Linked DNA regions of Xenopus tropicalis. The protein of the gene in region 2 purifies or fractionates together with the protein of the main gene of each other region. This does not show direct contact. Links are inferred from orthologs where the notes say so. Each region holds a gene or a part of one and is shown on either strand. Other genes may lie near its edges.

The links.
Region 1: the proteins of wwp1 (region 2) and smad7 purify together in Homo sapiens (affinity purification with western blotting; 3 studies listed by BioGRID, with this or other methods). This does not show direct contact. The link is inferred for Xenopus tropicalis from reciprocal best matches to the Homo sapiens genes WWP1 and SMAD7.
Region 3: the proteins of wwp1 (region 2) and smad6 purify together in Homo sapiens (affinity purification with western blotting; 3 studies listed by BioGRID, with this or other methods). This does not show direct contact. The link is inferred for Xenopus tropicalis from reciprocal best matches to the Homo sapiens genes WWP1 and SMAD6.
Region 4: the proteins of wwp1 (region 2) and rnf11 purify together in Homo sapiens (affinity purification with mass spectrometry; 3 studies listed by BioGRID, with this or other methods). This does not show direct contact. The link is inferred for Xenopus tropicalis from reciprocal best matches to the Homo sapiens genes WWP1 and RNF11.
Region 5: the proteins of wwp1 (region 2) and ptpn14 purify together in Homo sapiens (affinity purification with mass spectrometry; 3 studies listed by BioGRID). This does not show direct contact. The link is inferred for Xenopus tropicalis from reciprocal best matches to the Homo sapiens genes WWP1 and PTPN14.

What each region holds. Positions count from the first base shown.
Region 1 is NC_030677.2:205,594,073-205,598,219, forward strand, and holds the start of smad7 (mothers against decapentaplegic homolog 7), read right to left. Parts: upstream 2,803-4,147; 5' UTR 1,740-2,802; coding exon 1,259-1,739; intron 1-1,258. UniProt on the Homo sapiens protein: Antagonist of signaling by TGF-beta (transforming growth factor) type 1 receptor superfamily members; has been shown to inhibit TGF-beta (Transforming growth factor) and activin signaling by associating with their receptors thus preventing SMAD2 access.
Region 2 is NC_030682.2:125,462,739-125,466,926, reverse strand, and holds the start of wwp1 (NEDD4-like E3 ubiquitin-protein ligase WWP1), read right to left. Parts: upstream 2,813-4,188; 5' UTR 2,733-2,812; intron 1-2,732. UniProt on the Homo sapiens protein: E3 ubiquitin-protein ligase which accepts ubiquitin from an E2 ubiquitin-conjugating enzyme in the form of a thioester and then directly transfers the ubiquitin to targeted substrates.
Region 3 is NC_030679.2:117,262,021-117,266,008, reverse strand, and holds the start of smad6 (mothers against decapentaplegic homolog 6), read right to left. Parts: upstream 2,812-3,988; 5' UTR 2,144-2,811; coding exon 1,750-2,143; intron 1-1,749. UniProt on the Homo sapiens protein: Transforming growth factor-beta superfamily receptors signaling occurs through the Smad family of intracellular mediators. SMAD6 is an inhibitory Smad (i-Smad) that negatively regulates signaling downstream of type I transforming growth factor-beta.
Region 4 is NC_030680.2:96,171,004-96,175,215, forward strand, and holds the start of rnf11 (RING finger protein 11), read left to right. Parts: upstream 1-1,412; 5' UTR 1,413-1,507; coding exon 1,508-1,630; intron 1,631-4,212. UniProt on the Homo sapiens protein: Essential component of a ubiquitin-editing protein complex, comprising also TNFAIP3, ITCH and TAX1BP1, that ensures the transient nature of inflammatory signaling pathways. Promotes the association of TNFAIP3 to RIPK1 after TNF stimulation.
Region 5 is NC_030681.2:13,586,709-13,589,776, reverse strand, and holds part of ptpn14 (tyrosine-protein phosphatase non-receptor type 14), read right to left. Parts: intron 2,922-3,068; coding exon 2,703-2,921; intron 2,310-2,702; coding exon 2,181-2,309; intron 1-2,180. UniProt on the Homo sapiens protein: Protein tyrosine phosphatase which may play a role in the regulation of lymphangiogenesis, cell-cell adhesion, cell-matrix adhesion, cell migration, cell growth and also regulates TGF-beta gene expression, thereby modulating epithelial-mesenchymal transition.

The DNA.
Region 1 (4,147 bases), on a different chromosome or scaffold from region 2:
CATTATACGCACAGCCGTATATAAAAGTGCGCTGAAACTGCCGCCGGAGAAAGGGGCATTGAAGCAAAAAGAGGGGGTTTACGCTTTACACCCCAACTTTAATAGGGGTGTAATAATAAAAGTAGGCTGGTAAATAGGAAACAGGGGGGAGGGCATGATTAATAAACACATTAAGCAGAACAGAAATAAGCTTAAAAGGTAAATGAAGGGAAAAACAATATATTACTAGGGTATAAGTGCAATAAAGGGAGGGACAGCCCCGATCCATTGATGGGGGGATGAATGAGATGTCAGTAGTAACTACTCAGCCCCCTGGCACTGTCACTACTGTCATAGGGAATAATACCTAATAATGACATGAGCCGAGACCCCCCCCCCAGAAATACATAAGCCCCCCCCCCCCTTTATTGCCACTGATATTAGCCCAGCAGACCTGCTATAGGACTGGAGACTGGATGATAATGGGGTGTATCTTGTATATGAAGGTTTCCTGGCAAAGTGACACAAGGCACCCCCACAATCCGTGTGACCCCCCCCATTCCTTTCACACAGTACAACGGAATGACATAGTGACAATGACACCTCCCAGCTTACACAGCAGACTGTACCCCCACAGCACCCACCGTGCCCACTATCCCCAAGCCACACTGTCAGTTATACCAAGGGGCAAGTTACTCTGCCCTGCTATTAGCCACAGCGACCAATGTATCCAATGTGCTGTACCCATGAAACCCAGAGCCATGCCCCCTTTGCCATTCCCGCTATACCCAAGGATAAATATGGAAAAAGAATAGTTGTGCCCTGAGATAAATATGCCCAGTCATATACCCCATTATAACTGTGCCAAATGGCAGTAAATCAGTATCCCCATTACCCATCACAATATTGAACCCCCAAGCCTGTGGCTGCATTGAAATACTAATGCCAGACTGACCCTCTGATGCCAACTACACACACCAGCTGTGCCCAGTGGGTGCCAATGTCCCTGCAGGACAGGGTGGCAGTCAGAGCAAATCCACCCTGCCATGTGTGTGTGCCAGTCTGGGTGTCAAAGTCCCTGCAGGACAGGGTGGCAGTCAGAGCAAACCCACCCTGCCATGTGTGTGTGTGCCAGTCTGGGTGTCAAAGTCCCTGCAGGACAGGATGGCAGTCAGAGCAAACCCACCGTGCCATGTGTATGTGCCAGTCTGGATGGCAGTCAGAGCAAACCCACCCTGCCCTGTGTGTGAGTGCCAGTCTGGGTACAGGGGGCACCTACCTAGTTCGCACAGCCTGCTGAGATGGTGCGGGTTGCAGCAGACCAGCTCCGGGTTGTTCTTGCCATAGGAATCGCAGCAACTAAGTCGTTTGACCTCGGACGAGTGCCTGAGGTCCGGCCACCTGAAGACCTTGCAGAGCAGCAGCGGCAGGGAGAAGGGCTGCTGCCCCAGCCTGGAGTCCAGCTTGGCCGCCGGCAGCAACAGGCAGGGGCTGCGGGCTCCCCCTTTACACTCCACCGCCTGCAGCAGCCCCTCCAGCTGCTTCTCCTTCAGCTTCTTCAGCACGGAGTGGGCGAGGGCTTTCAGTTCTGCAGCCTCCGAGCCCCCCAGCGCCTTCCCGGGCACCTTATTCGCCGATTTGCCCAGGCAGCAACCCCCGGCTCCATGAACCCTCTCCCCGCCTTCCCCTTCCCCGCTCTCCCCGGGAGCTCGGCTCCTCCAGAGTCGCCGGACGAGCACCGATCGTTTGGTCCTGAACATGCGGGACGAGAGCAAGGCTTCCCGGCTAAACAACGTGCATGACGCCCGCAAATCATGAAGAATCCTGGATCCGAGGCCGGGCAGAGACCAGCAGCAGCAGCCCGGGAGGGTAGGGGGGAGCTGGGGGTCCGACAAGCCAAAGCGATCTGGAACATGCGCCAGTCTTTTAGGGGAAGAGATCCTGCAAAGTGCGGCGGGGGGATCCGAGTCGCAGCGACAGGAATACTGCAAACGGCAAGCAGCCGCCCCGGCTACACATACAGCGGGCTAATGCTGGGCAGCCGAGCCGGGAGCAGCGGGGCATTGAATGGAGCACAGAGCGCTGCCCGGCTTGGCCTGGGATCTAAAGGGCATTTATACACAATCCTCCCGGTAGGAAAGCGGGCTCCCCCCACAACTCGTACATCCACAAACGAGCGGGTCTGCCGATAATATCCCTTGTGTATGGGGGGCAAATGGGCAGAGAGTAGGGGCACTAGGGCGGCAGAACCTTATAGATAATCCGTACGCGATGCGGTTCCAGTAAAGAAGTAGAAGCCCTGGGTTGCGCCTCTCGCTTGTTTAATCCACAAGAAAAATCCTTTATCCGGCCGCTCAGTAGGAGAGAGGGGAAAAAAATAAAGTGGGACTTGTCTTTTCCTCCTTCTCAAAGGGCTGATCCGCCCCCGTCTGTGTTATGGAAATGTGCGATGGGGAGAGGGGGGGGGGAGAGGAGGAGGGACCGGCCGCACAGCGGAGACACGGCGAGGGGCAGCGGGGAGAGGACTGGTATCCCTCCGCTAACGAGGGCCGGCTATGGGGGTTCACTGGGGCACCTACACTCTACTGGGGGGGTGCTGTGTCCACAAAGCTCACACTCACAGCACCCAGTTACCAAGGGACTTCACCCTGCTCATTGCTGTCAGTGCCCCTCCTCTCTCCCTGACTGTCTCTCACTTCCCCCTCCCCTGTCTGTGCCTGTCTCTCTCTCTCCCCGGCTCTCTCGGCTCTGTCAGTCTCCTGTGCGCAATGGCGCGGCCCATCACGTGGGTGTCTAGACAGCCTGTCGCTTTAACAAAAAAAAAAAACCCCAAGGATTGTGTTGCGCAAAGGCTTCGGGTTACTGAAAGCTCCTCTTTTATGTCACAGTCAGTCATATGTGTGAGTCTGAGTGAGAGTGTGAGTGAGAGTGTGAGTCTGAGTGTGAGTGTGAGTCTGAGTGAGAGTGTGAGTCTGAGTGAGAGTGTGCACTATGCATTTAGTGGGGCATAAAGCCATCAGTGTAACATTAAAGGGGAGGTTAGCTTTTCAGTATGGCCAATTCTAAGCAACTTTTCAATTGGTCTTCATTATTTATTTTTATCATTTTTAAATTATTCCCCTTCTCCTGCCTCTTTCCAGCTTTCAAACAGGGGTCACCGACCCCCGCAACAAAAACTATGGCTCTGTGAGGCTACAATTTTATTGGTATTGTTACTTTTAATTACTTTTCTTTCTGTTTAGAAATATCAGTCTCTCATTGAAACCAATGCCTGGTCACCAGGGGCCCCCACACCCCCAGTAGGGACTCCCGCCGGCTGCCTCCCTGCGGCCCACCAGGTTTTTTCCTGGTGTCCCGTCGGCCCAGTCCAATCCTGCTGGTTGCTAAGGTAATTTGGACCCTAGCAACCAGATAGCTGCTGAAATTCCAATCTGGAGAGCTGCTGAACAAAAAGTGAAATAATTACAGAACTACAAAAAATAATGACAAACTGCAAATTATCTCAGAATATTACTCTCTATCTCATACTAAAAGTTAACTCAAAGGTGAACTACCTCTTTAGATGTAAGTACCTGGGTATAATAATTACTCCCAGTGGCAGGCTGATACACCTTTATGGCATTGCTGCTGCTGAGCTGTGGGAGAGGATGTAGGCTAAGGCTGTTAGGGGTTGCTGGGAGCTGTAGTTCAAGCTGTGGGGAGCAGATTGATTACTAATGAATAAACTGCTTGCAGGGCCTGGCAGGTATAAGGAGAATACATTATACATACTCGGGTTTCATGTTGTTTCTAACATAGAGGTAGTAGATGCATGGAGTGAGCTCTCCGGGGAGAGGGTATCGGCCTTAGTTATCAGCTCAGCTTGACTGTGCATGAATGGGGTTAAATGGCCGGCTTGTGATGTTGGAGGGGAAGTCGGGCTGAGAGGTTTCAGTGCAGGTTGTTAGGGCTGGACAAGTCCCCCTCGAGCCGCTACTTAAATCTCACTTTTGGCTCGTGACGTTTGGGTACAAAGTGTACATGTTGCAACGTCCGCAAGCTTGTCTCTAATTACTGTCTGCCTCCTACCTGTCCCTCTGTCTGCCTCCTACCTGTCCCTCTGTCTGCCTCCTACCTGTCCCTCTGTCTGCCTCCTACCTGTCCCTCTGTCTGCCTCCTACCTGTCCCT
Region 2 (4,188 bases):
TTTATGGAAATGATATAGAAATAACACCTATGGAAAGTTTGAAATAAAGGTGTCCAACTTTTTTACCTATAGAAAACATTTAAATAAAAAGAGTTGGCAGCAACGCAAGCATGAAAAAAGTTCCAAGGGGGTGCCAAATAATGGCATATTTGGCTCTGTGTGGCAGTACACATGGCCTTTGTGCCTCCAAGTAAGAAATTCAAAAATGAACACCTGCTTTGAGGCCACTGGAAGCAATATCAAAGGGATTAGGGGAGCAACATGGTTGGGAAACACTGGTAGCTAAAGTACGATGCACTTGGTCCAAAGTAAATTTCACAAAAGATAAACAAAAGACAACGGCATACCTGGCGGGGAGTGCTTGGACAAAAAAAGGGTAGACTAAGCAGAGAGAATGCAATTAAGGGTGAAGACACAATGACCTACTACCGGTAGTAGCAGCTACTTGTCATGGCTACTAAAATGGACAATGCTGATCATTTACTGATAATTGTCTCTACATGTGTTTTAGCAGAGGCAATTCTCAGTATTGTCTATGGCAGGGGTAGCTGCTACTAAGTAGCTCTGTGTGTCTTCACCCTAAAGGTGCACAGGCGCAAGACAACACTGAGTTGGCAAAAAAGGTGGAGTGGCAGTATACCCCCCTTGCACAGCACAAGCTCAATACACAGGGCTTGTGCTGAACATACTTTGTTTTGGAGTGCAAAGTGACCTTTTGTAGTTTGCTTTACTTTTGCCTCTATTTGGGTAAGAGTCTTTACTTTTGCATCCTTTACTATATTTGCATAAGGGAGTACCCTCTATTAATTGTTGTTTTCTGAACATACTTTTTTTGCCTATTGTTTTAATCATGAAAAATCTCAATATGGACATTACATGGACACTGAGAAGACACCACAGAGGTGGCACATAAATGGATACAGATGGCAAGGAGGGTGAAGCTAAATGTGAGCATTACACATGGAGACAAGAAAGACACCACAGAGGTGGGAAATACATGGATACACTTGGCAAGGAGAGTGAAGCTAAATGTGAGCATTACACATGGAGACAAGGAAGACAAAACAGAGGTGGCACATACATGGATACACTTGGCAAGGAGGGTGAAGCTAAATGTGGGCATTACACATGGAGACAAGAAAGACACCACAGAGGTGGCACATACATGGATACACTTGGCAAGGAGATTGCAGCTAAATGTGAAGAGTGCACAAAGACACAAAGAAGACACCACAGAGGTGGCACATACATGGATACACTTGGCAAGGAGGGTGAAGCTAAATGAGAGCATTACACATAGAGACAAGGAAGACACCACAGAGGTGGCACATACATGGATACACTTGGCAAGGAGAGTGAAGCTAAATGTGGGCATTACACATAGAGACAAGGAAGACACCAGAGGTGGCACATACATGGATACACTTGGCAAGGAGAGTGAAGCTAAATGTGGGCAATACACATAGAGACAAGGAAGACACCACAGAGGTGGCACATACATGGATACACTTGGCAAGGAGGGTGAAGCTAAATGAGAGCATTACACATAGAGACAAGGAAGACACCACAGAGGTGGCACATACATGGATACACTTGGCAAGGAGGGTGAAGCTAAATGTGAAGAGTGCACAAAGACAAAAGGAAGACACCACAGAGGTGGCACATACATGGATACACTTGGCAAGGAGGGTGAAGCTAAATGTGGGCATTACACATGGAGACAAGGAAGACACCACAGAGGTGGCACATACATGGATACACTTGGCAAGGAGGGTGAAGCTAAATGTGAAGAGTGCACAAAGACACAAGGAAGACACCACAGAGGTGGCACATACATGGATACACTTGGCAAGGAGGGTGAAGCTAAATGTGGGCATTACACATGGAGACAAGGAAGACACCACAGAGGTGGCACATACATGGATACACTTGGCAAGGAGGGTGAAGCTAAATGTGGGCATTACACATGGAGACAAGGAAGACACCACAGAGGTGGCACATACATGGATACACTTGGCAAGGAGGGTGAAGCTAAATGTGAAGAGTGCACAAAGACACAAGGAAGACACCACAGAGGTGGCACATACATGGATACACTTGGCAAGGAGAGTGAAGCTAAATGTGAGCATTACACATGGAGACAAGGAAGACACAACAGAGGTGGGAAATACATGGATACACTTGGCAAGGAGAGTGAAGCTAAATGTGAGCATTACACATGGAGACAAGGAAGACACAAAAGAAGTAGCACATACATGGATACACTTGGCAAGGAGGCTGCTGCTATACACTATACATGGATATGGGCAGATTTGGCAGCGGCACTAGGAGGGTACAGGGTTCAAGTCATATGATGAATGAAGTCAGGCTAGCATTAGCCCACCTGTGACACAATAACCAGAAGCCCCTGATGAAAGGAAACAGCTAGCGAGATATCCGGTGGCCCTTAAGGCCATAGAGATGTGAGCGAGTACTGAGACCGGAGAATAGCGGATCGCAACAAACCACGACAATGAAAGGCTTGAGAGAAAAACGCAAAGCGGGGAATGGGATCACCGACAGCAGCGCAAAGCACTAGTGGTATTGCCCGTAGCTAATGCCAGGCGGAGACAAGGAATAGTAGCCTAGGGGCAAGGAGCAGAACAAGCAGTGTGTGGCACCGACATGCCCTCATACACTGCTGCGGGAAACCTATCGACTTCACCAACCAGCTGACACAGCTGCCAACATACCGGGGCGGATGTCCCGTCCTCGGCCTCCCCTCCCCTCCCCGGGCCGCCTCTTCCTCCTTCCGAGCTCCCGTCCGATTCACACGCTGCCAGCTCCGGGCACCACTGCGGCCGTCTCACAGAGCTTCCCCGGACTCCGCCCCCTCGCGTCATCAAACTCCCGCCCAGGAAACGTCACGTGTCTCCCACCTACCAGCAATAACACGGGGCGTGGCCATGTCGTGACAGGATTGGGACAAGCTTTGCGTGACGTCACCTATATAATTCTCTGGCTAAACCCGCATTAATCTGTATGAGTTTAGTTTGATGCTCCTCTTTAGACTAGGCCAGGAGGGACATGTTAAAGTTGTTGTTAAAGTTTAAATCAACTTTTTGTGTTTCAGGCAGCATTAGTTTATGGCTTTTTACTGCTCCAAGTGTATCAGCAGGGACACTTTCAGGGTTGCTATTCTACCAGTGGTAAAACACATGCTAAAGCTGGGACCAGTATAACAGTGCCATTGCGTGTCATTGCACTGATCCACCCTAATTGTTCATCCCTTTTCAGACCAGAAGCTGCCCTCTGCCCAACATGCCAATTCTCTTCTGCTCATATTATCACCCTGGGCCTTTACAGCATCACCCCACCCCCCTTGTCACCCCAGCCCAGCAGGTTAAATCATTTTTAAAAGTTGCAAACCCTATGCACTTGCCATTAGAAGCAGTAAGGGTAAAGACTCCAGCACCCCACTTGGCACTGGCACTTAGGGTGAAGACACATGGAGCTACTAGTAGCAGCTACTTGTCACAGCTGCAAAAATAGACAATGCTGATCATTTACTGATAACTGTCTCTACATGTGTTTTAGCAGAGGCAATTCTCAGTATTGTCTGTGGCAGGGGATTTTCTGGCGTTTAGTAGCTGTGACAAGTAGCTGCTACTAAGTAGCTCTGTGTGTCTTCACCCTAACAGGTAGTAGTCAAAACACACCATGTTGTCTGTACTAAGATCTAAATAAGTCTTGGCATTACAAATAAACTGAGGCTGAGACAGTCCTCTAACAACCTCAAATAAAGCACCGGTCTATGCAATTCACAGCAGTCACTACGGGTTTTGCCAGAATATTTGCCATTCCAGCACTACCCCAAGTGCCATTAGCCTTAAAGTGATACTGGCGCTAAGGGCTGTGACAGACGGGAAGATTAGTCGCCGCGTGACAAATCTCCCTTGTTGCGGGCGACTAATCACCCCGATATGCCATCCCACCGGCTTGAATGTAAATCGCCAGTGGTATGGCATATGCGGCGACGCGATTTCCCGAAATCGCACAAGTTTCCTCTCAAGGCAACTTCCGCAGTTTTCGGAAATCGCAACGCCGCATATGCCATACCACTGGCGATTTACATTCAAGCCTGTATGATGGCATATCAGAGAGATTAGTCGCCCGCAACAAGGGAGATTTGTCACGGGCAACTAATCT
Region 3 (3,988 bases), on a different chromosome or scaffold from region 2:
AAATACACATTTTTACCAATGCAAAGTACATATACATTTAAATGCCTACAAAACCCTTTTATTTTTTGGTGTTACTTGTCCTATAAGGGTGAAGACACACAAAACTACTAGTAGCAGCAGCTACTTGTCATGGCTACTGATAATTGTCTCTACGTGTGATTTACCAGAGACAATTCTCAGTATTGTCTATGGCAGGGTATTTTCTGGCATTTTGTAGCCCTGAAAAATTAGCTGCTACTAAGTAACTCAGTGTGTCTCCACCCTAAGGGTAAGAATCCATAGAGTGGTTAGTTTCCCGCGATAGATCTCTACTGTCTCGGGTGACAAACTGCTCCAAAAAGGATTTCCACCAGCAACAATAGGAGTCGCCAGTGGAAAGCCATTGCCATCAATTCGGTAATCCGAAGTCACGTGAAGTTGCTGCAAGATGAAACTTTGCACAACTTCATATTACCAACACCATTCAAAGGGCTTTCCACTGGCAAATACTGAGCGATTTCAAGAGTTTTTTTATGTCATGGTGTTGAGTACACCAGCATCTTTCAGGCTATTTCCATTCAAATGAATGGGCGATGATTTCAAGAATCTTTCCCCTGCCCCCTTGATGGACTCTTGTCATGTCTGCCTAGGCCCCTATTTTGTTTATGATCTAATCATTCACCAACAACCAGTGGTGTAGACAAGGGCTCATGGGTCGAAATTTGCATCAAGGCGCTACCACTGCATGGGACCCCCTTCCCCCATGCCATTAGATTGGCTTCCGTGGACTATGGCCACAGAGTTTCAGGTCCCCCCTCAGTACTCACCAGGGTAGTAGGCCCCAGATCAGTCACACCCGTAGCTCCCTTAGTAGCTACACCACTAGGGACAAACCAGTCTGATGTGGACCATAATGCAGGTATCCAAGTTGGACAGCTTACCATACAAGTGGATCTTGTCATCTGTGCCCCATTTTTCAGCCCAGTATGATTGGTTAGGAGCAAATTGTTCTCGAGCAAAACCAGGCAGCCTATGAGGCCCTTAACAGACCACCATTCTGCCTCCAGCTATACTACGCTGATAATATTTTGGTTAATATGTAAGAGTTATGCCAGTGAGTGCTCCAAACAAAACTATAAATGCCCTATCACTATAATCAGGGTATCCAACCAGAGACCCCCTCCCCCAGCTGCTGACAGTGTTGGAAATGCTGGAAATTTTGGATCATTAATTTCCAGAGAGACCTAATGTCTAAACATCTCTAATAGCAAAAGAGCAATAAGGCACCTGTTAATGACATAGGATCTTTAGTTCAAATGACTTCATTAAAGTACATTCCTGGAAGAGAGGAACTAGAGTAATATGTAATTAGTGCTACATTTCCTGCAACCTCTTACCTATTAAAGAAGTGTAACAATAATGATAATATGTAGACAGCCTCCAGCTATTGGCAGGGCCAGAGATAAAGATGAAGGCACCCCGGGCAATAAACCAAAGCGGGTGCACTAACATGAGGGAAGCAGACTGTGTTTATTAGGGATGTCCTGTCTGTGCCCTTAGCCTGAGATTATAGAAGCTGAACTACAACTCCCAGCATCCTGGCTTCTACCTGTTGTATTAAAACAACCTGAGGGGCCATGGGACAGACATCACTCACAGGAATTTGCTGGACACTGTGCAATAGTGATAGAGACATAATCTGCACAAGGGATGCTCCAGGCTCTCCCCTAGCCTAGCAGGGGCTGTTAGGAAGGATGCATTGGCACTCACCCGGTCCGCACACCCTGCTGTAATGGTAGGGGTTGCAGCACACACTGTTATTCTCCGAGCCCCCGGCTCCCTGGCACCCACACAAGGCTTTCAGTTGCCCGGGATGCTGCAGCTCTGGCCAGCGGAAGAGTCTGCACAAGAGCAGGTGAGGGGGGGGCCCGTGTCGGGTCACACACACACACCCTCCGGGCGCTGCACCCCGGGACTCCACGGCCTCCAGCAGGGCGCACAGGGCTTGCTCTTTCAGTCGCTTCAGGATCGCAGAAGCAGCGGCGCGGAGCTCCGGGGAGCCAGAGGGCTGCTCCGACAGACCGCAGCAAGAGACACCTCCATCCCCGCCCGCCCGGCTCCTCCACAGGCGCCGAACCAGCCCGGTGCGTCTGGACCTGAACATGCGGCGCGCCCCCGAGGGTGCGCCCGGCTCTCCGGTGCCTCAGTGCCCGGGGCCAACTAGAAGGGTCGGCATGGGGGAAGAGCGCTCTCTCCTGTGCCAGTCTCTCCGGTGCCCGCACGGATAGAGAGTCAGTCGGCTGGGCACGTATTGGGGTGTCCCCCTCCCGGGTCACATCTCGGAAGGCTGCTTCTCCAGACGGAACCCCCACGGCTGTCACATGGCGGTACTCACGGCACAGGGCATCCAGCAGGGGCACGGAGACTGGGCGCAGCGGGATGCTCCGGAGAAGGATGCTGAACGCTGGATAGAGCGGGGCTGCGGGGTATTTGCACGGCTCTAGCCCTTACACTCCCGGGGATTGCAGCCTACTGCAGCCGGGCTTGTGGCGCTCTCACACACTGCACATTGCTGCTACCGTCCCGCACAGGCTTCCTTTCTCTATCGGCTTGCACTGCGCACACTTCCTAGTAGGCTCCCCGCTCCGGTCCCCTGGGTTCCTCTCAGCTTCCCCGATAGCAGTAGGCGCTTCACTCTGTTGCTCCGGTCCCTGCACACACTGATCCCTGCTCTTTGTGCTCACCCTCTCTCACTCACTCGGGCCCACTGAAAGCATTCCCATTGGCTGTTCCCTGTCACATGGCAGTCTAGACACTTTGGCGGCTCCGCTGCACTGACTGTTGCGCAAACAAATCTCAAGTTTCTTAACTCTTAAAGGAGCCACAGTCCTTTCCCAATTCTTAAAATTGCCCTATTACCTTCACAAACGTCCCACACTTTTTACCAAATACATTTTTTTAAAGCAGTGCTTTTATTTGGTGCTGAGCAGATAATCGCTGGGTCATTTACTTATTATAACTAGATGCTTGGGGTTTCCATCATTTCACCCCAGGGCAGAGATGCTCACCTTGTGGCACACTAGCTGCTGTTGAACTACAACAATGGCTGTATGGGGTGCTGTACATTCTATTGGACCGGTACATGGAGTCTCCTGCCCTTTTACTTTCATTTCTTAATATGTATTTGTTAGCGATGGATGATACAGAACCAAAAAAACTAAATACAAAAAAGCAGATGAGAATGTATGTGGAAAACAATGAATATCAGCAAATATATAGAAAGTGAGAAATATGTTCTCCTTGCACCCTGAAGCTCAGCTCTTTGCACTTCTAGAATAGAGCAAAGTGAGTAGTGTTTTTTCACTATAGGGCTAAGACAGGAGCTACTTGTAGCAGATACAAAAATACACAATGCTGTCAATTTACTGATAATTGTCTCTGTGTATTTTAGCAAAGGCAATTCTCAGTATTGTCTATGGCAGGGTATTTTCTGGTGTTTTGTAGCTGTGACAAGTAGCTGCTACTAAGTAGCTCCAAGTGTCTAAAGGTCCCCATACACGGGCAGATTGTAGCTGCCGATATCGGTCCCTTGGACCGATTCGGCAGCTTATCTGCCCATTTAGGGGCAGAAACGAGGGGCCTGGCCGACCGATATCTGGCCTGAAATTGGCCAGATCTCGATCGGCCAGGTTAGAAAATTCAGTTGGATCAGGGACCGTATTGGCCCGTTGATGCGGTCCCCGAACCGACTGCCCCTTGCCGCCAGTATAATTCGATCGTTTGGCCCCGATATGACATCCCACCGGTGAGAATATAAATCGCTGGTGGGATGGCATACATTGCCTTAAGAGGAACCTTCCGCGATTTTAGGGAAATCGCAGCACCGCGTATGCCATCCCACCGGCTATTTACATTCTCATATCGGGGCTGTGGCACACGGGGAGATTAGTCGCCAGTGACAAATCTTCCTTGTCATGGGCAACTAATCTCCACATGTGCCACAGCCCTA
Region 4 (4,212 bases), on a different chromosome or scaffold from region 2:
ATATTAATTACGTGTTAATGTTGTTAGCATACAATTTGCATGTTTGCTTTTTGATCCATGCCAAGTACTTAACGGTACTGTATGCACCATGCATGTTGTTATCAAAAAGTTTGAGGCCCATGACACTGTCACCAATCTCCCTGGATATGGACTTATAAAAATTGATCTAGTGTGAATCGTGGTGATGGAACTTCAATTTACTACCAGAGATTCAAGTTTACATTCGTCCTTACAGTTAAACATCGAGTTTTGCTGCAGTTTTAGAGTTCCTTGAATAGCAGTGCAATATTAAAGATAGGGACGAACCCCTGAATCCTTCCTAAATGGGTTTGGTTGATACCGAAGCAAATCCGAATCCTAATTAGCATATGCTATGAATCAGGACTGTACTTTAACTTCACTTCATTATCTGCAAATCTATAAAAACATTTCAAACACGTTCAAACTAAAAATTGACCAAAGGGGCTACCAGAATGAACCCTGGGTCCCATCCGCCCCTAGCCATGCCATTCCATTCATATCCACCCATTGTGCTGAGTGCCGCCTAAAGGTGGCCATACACGCACCGATAATATCGTACAAAACCTCGTTTCGAACGATATTCGGTGCGCGTATGGTATGTCGGTGAGTTGACCGATATCGCAGGAAGCTGCTGATATCGGACGACTCGCCGATCGGACCAGTTTGAAAATTTTGATCGGGCACCATAGAAGGCGCCTGACCAAATTCTCCCTTCAGAGCTGAATCGGCAGAAGGAGGTAGAAATCCTATTGTTTCTACCTCCTTACCTGCAGATTCAGCCCTGAATGGTGTGTGGCGGATCTGACGATGTTTCGTGCGACCATCAGATCGCCACCTGTATGGCCAGCTTTAGCTTCCTGCTGACACCCTACTTGAAACCCTTCCAGTGCTCCTTCTCACTGATATTCATTGTGCAGAAATCGGTTAGGATAGTCTCTACAATGTACACAATGAAAATCGTACTATTATTTCCTCAAGTATGGCCAGGACGGCATCAGAATTTGCTGTCTCGTTCTTTTTACGCATTTTAGCGTTTTTTTGTTGTACTAATGCACTGAAGGCCCCTTTAAAACAAAGCCATTTAAGTTTGTCTGGCTGCCATGCCACTGATTTTGTTTGCCCATGTCACACTGCGTTTCCTATTCCCAACTCTTTCCGGTTCCGCTCTGCTTTCAGTTCTCACAAGGGTTTGTAGGAGCGTGTTCCCCGCCCCTGGCCCCGCCCATCCAGACACAAACACTGGAGGCGGGGTCTCTCGGCTGGCGGTGATGTCACGGTCCGTCTGTGACCGCTGTGCTTAGTGATGGCGGAGGAGGGTTCGTCGATTCGCGGAGGGTGAGCAGCCATTGATATCGCTTGCACTGTACTTAGTCAGGGTGCAGTGAGCTGGCAACGTCCTAAAGGTGTGAAGGCCTGCGGGAAGGCCTTTAGAAGTGACCAGTGAAAAGCCGAAGGGGAGGCCAGAGCTAAGAAGCCCCCAGGCAGGATGGGCAATTGCCTCAAGTCCCCGACTTCTGATGATATCTCCCTGCTGCATGAGTCGCAGTCTGACCGTGCGAGCTATGGGGACGGGAACGACGGGGACCAGGAGCCGCCTCCCCCATACCAGGTAAGGAGAGCTGTGTATGTACGTGTATAGCCAGCTGGGATGTGCATGGCGGGATGGCAGGCTGGCTACTCGGGCGGCGGGGAACAGTCAGGCGAGTCTTGCAGCCCTCACTCGGCTTGAGCCCCAGGAGGGATTAGTTGCTGGCGGTAAGGCCACACCGCTAAGGGACAAAGCAGGGTTGTACCATTGGGGCTGTTCCACTACCGCCTTTACTTTGTGTCCCAATCTGTCACTACTACTCCGTGCTTGGGAAAGAACAGGGATACCAACATTTCTGTAAGCAAACAATGTAGGGCCAGTGAAGCTGCATTGTTACCCAGGGACTGCATACAAGCAAGCAGCCCATAATAACCTGTGTGATGTTACCTGCTGGGAATGCAGCAAGGATTCTCACCTCATTCATCTCACAGGGCTCTAGTTGTGCCTCATCTGGAAATAATAGGTTGGGCAGTTACTGCCTTGGGAAATCCACTGGTGCTGATGGGCCAAAATGGAGAAGTTGGTTTCTGAGTATATGTAAAGTATGAGTATATATAAATGTGAGTATGAGTATATATAAAAAGGCATAACAATAATGGGAGTCTAAGCTGTGTTTTGTATACTAGGTGGTTGCTTGATTATTGTGCTGTATTTATATTTTGTGGAGCTTTCCCTTAGTGTGTGTGTGTGTGTGTGTATATATATATATATATATATATATATATATATATATATATATATATATATATATTTATTAGACACTAGTGTGTACTGGGGGTATAATATACAGTGGGCATACATTTATACAATTCTTTTACTGTGTCCTGCGGGCCTATATCTTTGAATCACATAAGCAAAGACTTATTAGTAGCTTTAGCTGGCTGAGTAGTATTTGTTCGCCCAGTGTAAAGGTGAAAATGCGAAATATTTTGGATCTCTTCCCTATGGCAGTGGTGTGTTGGTATATACTGTGCCTTATAGAAAATGAACTTTTTCTGCTTCAACCTGTAAGCAGAGCAGGAAGTTATTTTTTTCTGGTATGTGAACCACAGTGCTGGCTTGACCCAGATGTGTTTTCAGTAACGCAGAGTTGATGCCATCTTTGTGACAGCGGCGCTGCACCAAACACGATACAAGGATACGCCAGCTCTTTGAAGCTCCTGTATAGAAAAGGCCCCCCTTTTTTTTGAGAAAAACATCATGGCATCTCACCCCATCTCTTCCCTCTTTACACTTCTGCTTATTGATATGAATAGGAAATACTGGCTGTTACCATGTATGGAAGGCTATTACCTAAAATGTAGGTTGCACATTTTTGCAACATAATCTTCAAAGAAGGGCAAATTGCATTACTTCAGTGGGAAAAGTTCTGCAGTGTTTTAACTGATGACGTTTTTCTGATCTTTTCTCCATTCAGTGATATGGGGACCTATATCATCCTGTCTGACATGATTTTCCCGCCTTCTCAATTTAATATTGACTGGAGAAGCCACCATTTTTTGTTTTCACGTGCAGGACCGTACACGGCTGAACTGTTAAAGAATAGCCAAACTCATTCCTTGTAACGACACCCGTTTTAGATGAAAATAGACTAGTTTTTTTGTTTTTTACTTTTTCACAGGAACTTGGTTAATCCTTTAAGTCGGTTTTGAGACCCGAGAACTTGTCATCAGATGACCACTGCTTACATTTACATCAATTCACTTTTTTTGTGTTTAAATCCCCTTTAACACTGACAAGGTGTTTTTTTTTTATTTTTTTTTTTATAGTTTTCTTGATACTTCTGGCCATAAGGTGTAGATATGAAACTACTGTTTTTAGTTTTCATGGGGAGCTGAATGAGTTGGAAAGCTAGGGTTTGTCAGTAACACATTAGCCATGTGGGAGCTGACCCTGAGGTCGGCATATCACTTGTGTTTGGGTGTAGGCCATGAAGTCCAATGGCTGTCTGAGAGAGGCTGCTGCCTTTGTTATGATCAAAATTGGGATGTCACTGTCTGCTCAGCTTATTTCTTGTACAAGTGCAACAGCTGCCTTCAGTTAAAGGAACAGTAACACCAAAAATATATCAAAGTAATTAAAATACTTTGTTGTCCTGCAGTGGTAACAGCTGTGTGTTTGTTTAGACACACTGTTATAGTTTATATAAACAAAGCTGCTCTGTAGCCATGGGGGTAGCTATACAAATTGAAATAGGGCAGAATGGTGAAGGTTACATAGCAGATAACAGAAGCTGTGTTTTCAGCTTACATGGCTGCTGCCCCCTTGGCTAAACAGCAGCTTATTCATATAAAATATAGTAGTGTTTCTGAAGTAAACACTGATGCAGGGCAACAGTACATTCAAATTACTTTAAAGCACTTTAAATTTTGATGTTACTGTTCCTTTAATGTGCATAACTTTACTTTTTTTATTTGCAAAGGAACAGTAAAAGTAAGAGTACACATAGAGCAATGACTTTGTGATAGCAAATCAACCGCAAAGTAATAAGTACTATTGGAACTGCCATTGTCAGTAAAATACTCCATGCAGTACAGATACTGTGAAATGATCTTGTTTTTCTCTGAGGGTCTTTTTATCTACAGTATTGTTCATTCTACTAA
Region 5 (3,068 bases), on a different chromosome or scaffold from region 2:
GTTTAGCCTAAAGGTGAACTCCAGCTCCAGAACCAACATTTGTTACAGAGCCCCACACAACACAGAAACCCCTAGTATACCCATCACTGTAATCTGTTCCTTAAAAAAGTAGGAATAAATACCATTTTTATATGCTGAAATCCAGCTGCAAAACAGTTCTTCTCTTTCTGTATCATTTGAAATCCTGGCAGGGGAGGAGGGACTAAAACTGATGTTACAAATTGTAACAACTTCCCCACAGCTTACAGACAGCATGCAGGAACTACATAACCCACAATGCATTGCTCTGTGATGTTCCTTTGCTTATTGACATCATGTGTGTAGAGAATTGTGGGATTGGGAGGAGGCAAGCTGAAGGCAGGCTGAAGGCAGGCGACTACTGTTACATTTTTATGAGTCTCAAAGTAGCCAGATCCACAGGAGACTAGGGGGCGGGGCTTAGGGAACTGTTACAAACCATATTATTACATTAAAAATCATGAAAAGGCTGCATATTTTTTATCTGATGTAGTTGCTTGAAATGATGTTTACTTCTCAAAAAGCTTCACTTGTGTTTGGGTGACGTTCCCCAAGTGCAAGGTTTGCTCCAGTTCTAGTATCCCAGAGCGACCCATTGGCAAGCAGCATTTGCTGGACTATTTATAAATGCAAGCATTTGATTGGATGTTAGAGGTTACCATACCTAGAGCAAACTGTGGGTATTAACTGCATTAATATACACACAGTGCCAATAAGGCCAATAAGTCGGTGTGTGTGTAGCGGGAGCTCCCATACTGACACTAAGCAGAGCTCAAGTGACTGATATTGTGTTTCCCTGCTGAACACAGCGGGCCCAGAGCTGGGGGAAACAATGGCCTGTTGCACTTGGCACAGGATGAAACATTATATAAGAAAGGAAAGTTGCAGAAGAATAACAAGCGCTGGTGCCGTCACACCCGATAAGGATGCTGGAATGCGAGGCTGGTTGGGACGTGGAGGGAACATGGGATCACTGCACAAAGGACACAATGAAACATGGTGCTTTTGGCTTGCATGGAATGATGCCTGTTGTTTTTGGCAGAGCTTGTGGAAGGCAAATCCTTGCGACAGAATAACAATGGTTACTGCACTTGTTTTTCACATCAACCAGCGCTTAAAGGGGAACCGAAATCCTGAATTTGATTGCCTTTGCCAGAGATGACTGCTCAATGCACTAACTGGTGGTGAAGGGTTTTTGATTCGATGCTCACCCTACGGATGTGTGCCATGCATACTCTTTGGCCCTGAAGAGCAGGTCCGCACGTATACATAGGTTGTGTTGAGTGGCCTGTGGGCTGCTGGCCATAGAAAACTACACAGAAAAACTACACAGCAGCCGGCTACCATTCCGTTCATCACAGAAGGCAGCATTGTGGGAACTGACTGTTTCAGTGCTACACAGAGGTAGGACCAACAGTGCAGAAAAATAGCAAAATACTTATATACTGATCCAAATAAGAATTCCATTTACAAATAACATGAAAAAAAAATTTATATTTAGGTTTCGCAGGCCCTTTAAAGGGATACTGACCCTATCTGAAAAACAAATGACCTAGTATGTCAGTTCAATCCCAGGAGAATGTATGTCTTCTACAAAAAGCTTACTTTTAGGTGGTACATCTACCTGAACTTCATGGTCCGACTCAGTACATCAGACTGAGGATTCTACCATCTCTCCTCTATGTAGATTAGCAGCAACCTGACCCCCTAAGAGCCGAGCCAGGTATTTTACACCACTGACATACCAATAGTTTTTTAAATATGATTAGTATCCCTTTAAAATATATCAACTTTATTCCGGTCTTTACCCCTGAATAGTTTATGCCAAATCGTTTCTCAATTTCTTTTTGTTCTTTTGTGATGGAACAGACTTTGTTCTACTGGACATAAGTGCCATCATTTATATTAACAGGAGAAGAAAGATAAACAGATACATCATTACATTCCTGATTTCCCAGATTCTGTAAAGGTGCCCATGGCCAAGCTTACAATAAAATGCCATTCTAATCTCTGTTTCCTTTCCTTAATCCTCCTTATTTTTTCCCAAAGCTCTCCTGCCAATCTGACATCCCCTCTTTATCAAAGATTTAGCATGATGCATGGTCTATTAAACATGGGAAGTCAAGCTTGACCCACACAGCCCTGCTATTATGGAAACCTACCTCATCAGCGTTGACCATGGCAATGACATTCACCCCCTGCTCCCACACCATCTGCCAGAAGTCGTGAAAGGTGTGGGGCAGCGGGCCTTGGGTAGCTATGTAATGCCAGTCTTTCCCACTCACAGTGACCTGGAATGGAAGAGTCAGATCCGTCAAAGGCAGAAACATAATAAGCTACCAAATGACATGTAATACCTTTACTGAGCCCAAAATTACTCCCAGTGAAAACTGTTGGCGAGTGAATGGATTCTGGTTGGGCTTCGGGTTGATGCTGGGTCCCTCAAGTCATAAGGACCTGTGCCTGTCTACTAGCTGTCCATTGTGGGTTTCCATTAGCATTCCATTGATGAATGAGGTCTATAATATTAGGGTGGCACACTGCCATGCCATCCTCTATTTTCTATAGATTGTTCTGTAGAATCATTGACATTGGGCCCTTTCAGCAGAATCATAACATAACAATTTGTGCAGTGCAACCTGAATCTGTAACAGCGGCTGTAATTAGGAGCTCGTTATTATTACCTTTATATGGGAAGCGTTGATGTAACCCGTGGGGTTTTCTTTGGTTGGGACAAGCTCGACTCTATTCTCTTCGTAAGGAATATCCTCGCAGATACGGTTGCGTTCTAGATTTTCTGGCAACACTGCAGTAGTAAAAACACCCTCTGGCTTTCTCTTTGGAATTTGCTCGTATTCAGTAAACACCATTCCCTCCTCCAGTCTCCATCTCAAGGTCTTGCACTGCAGAGAAACCACACGGTGCTACATTAGGACTTACCCATAACACCAGGGACCTATAAAGAGGCAAAATTATGTTTTCCCTCAAGTTAATGCACTTTCTTATGCAAGATAGCACTTTATTTGCTTTAATAGCCACTGCCTACAGTT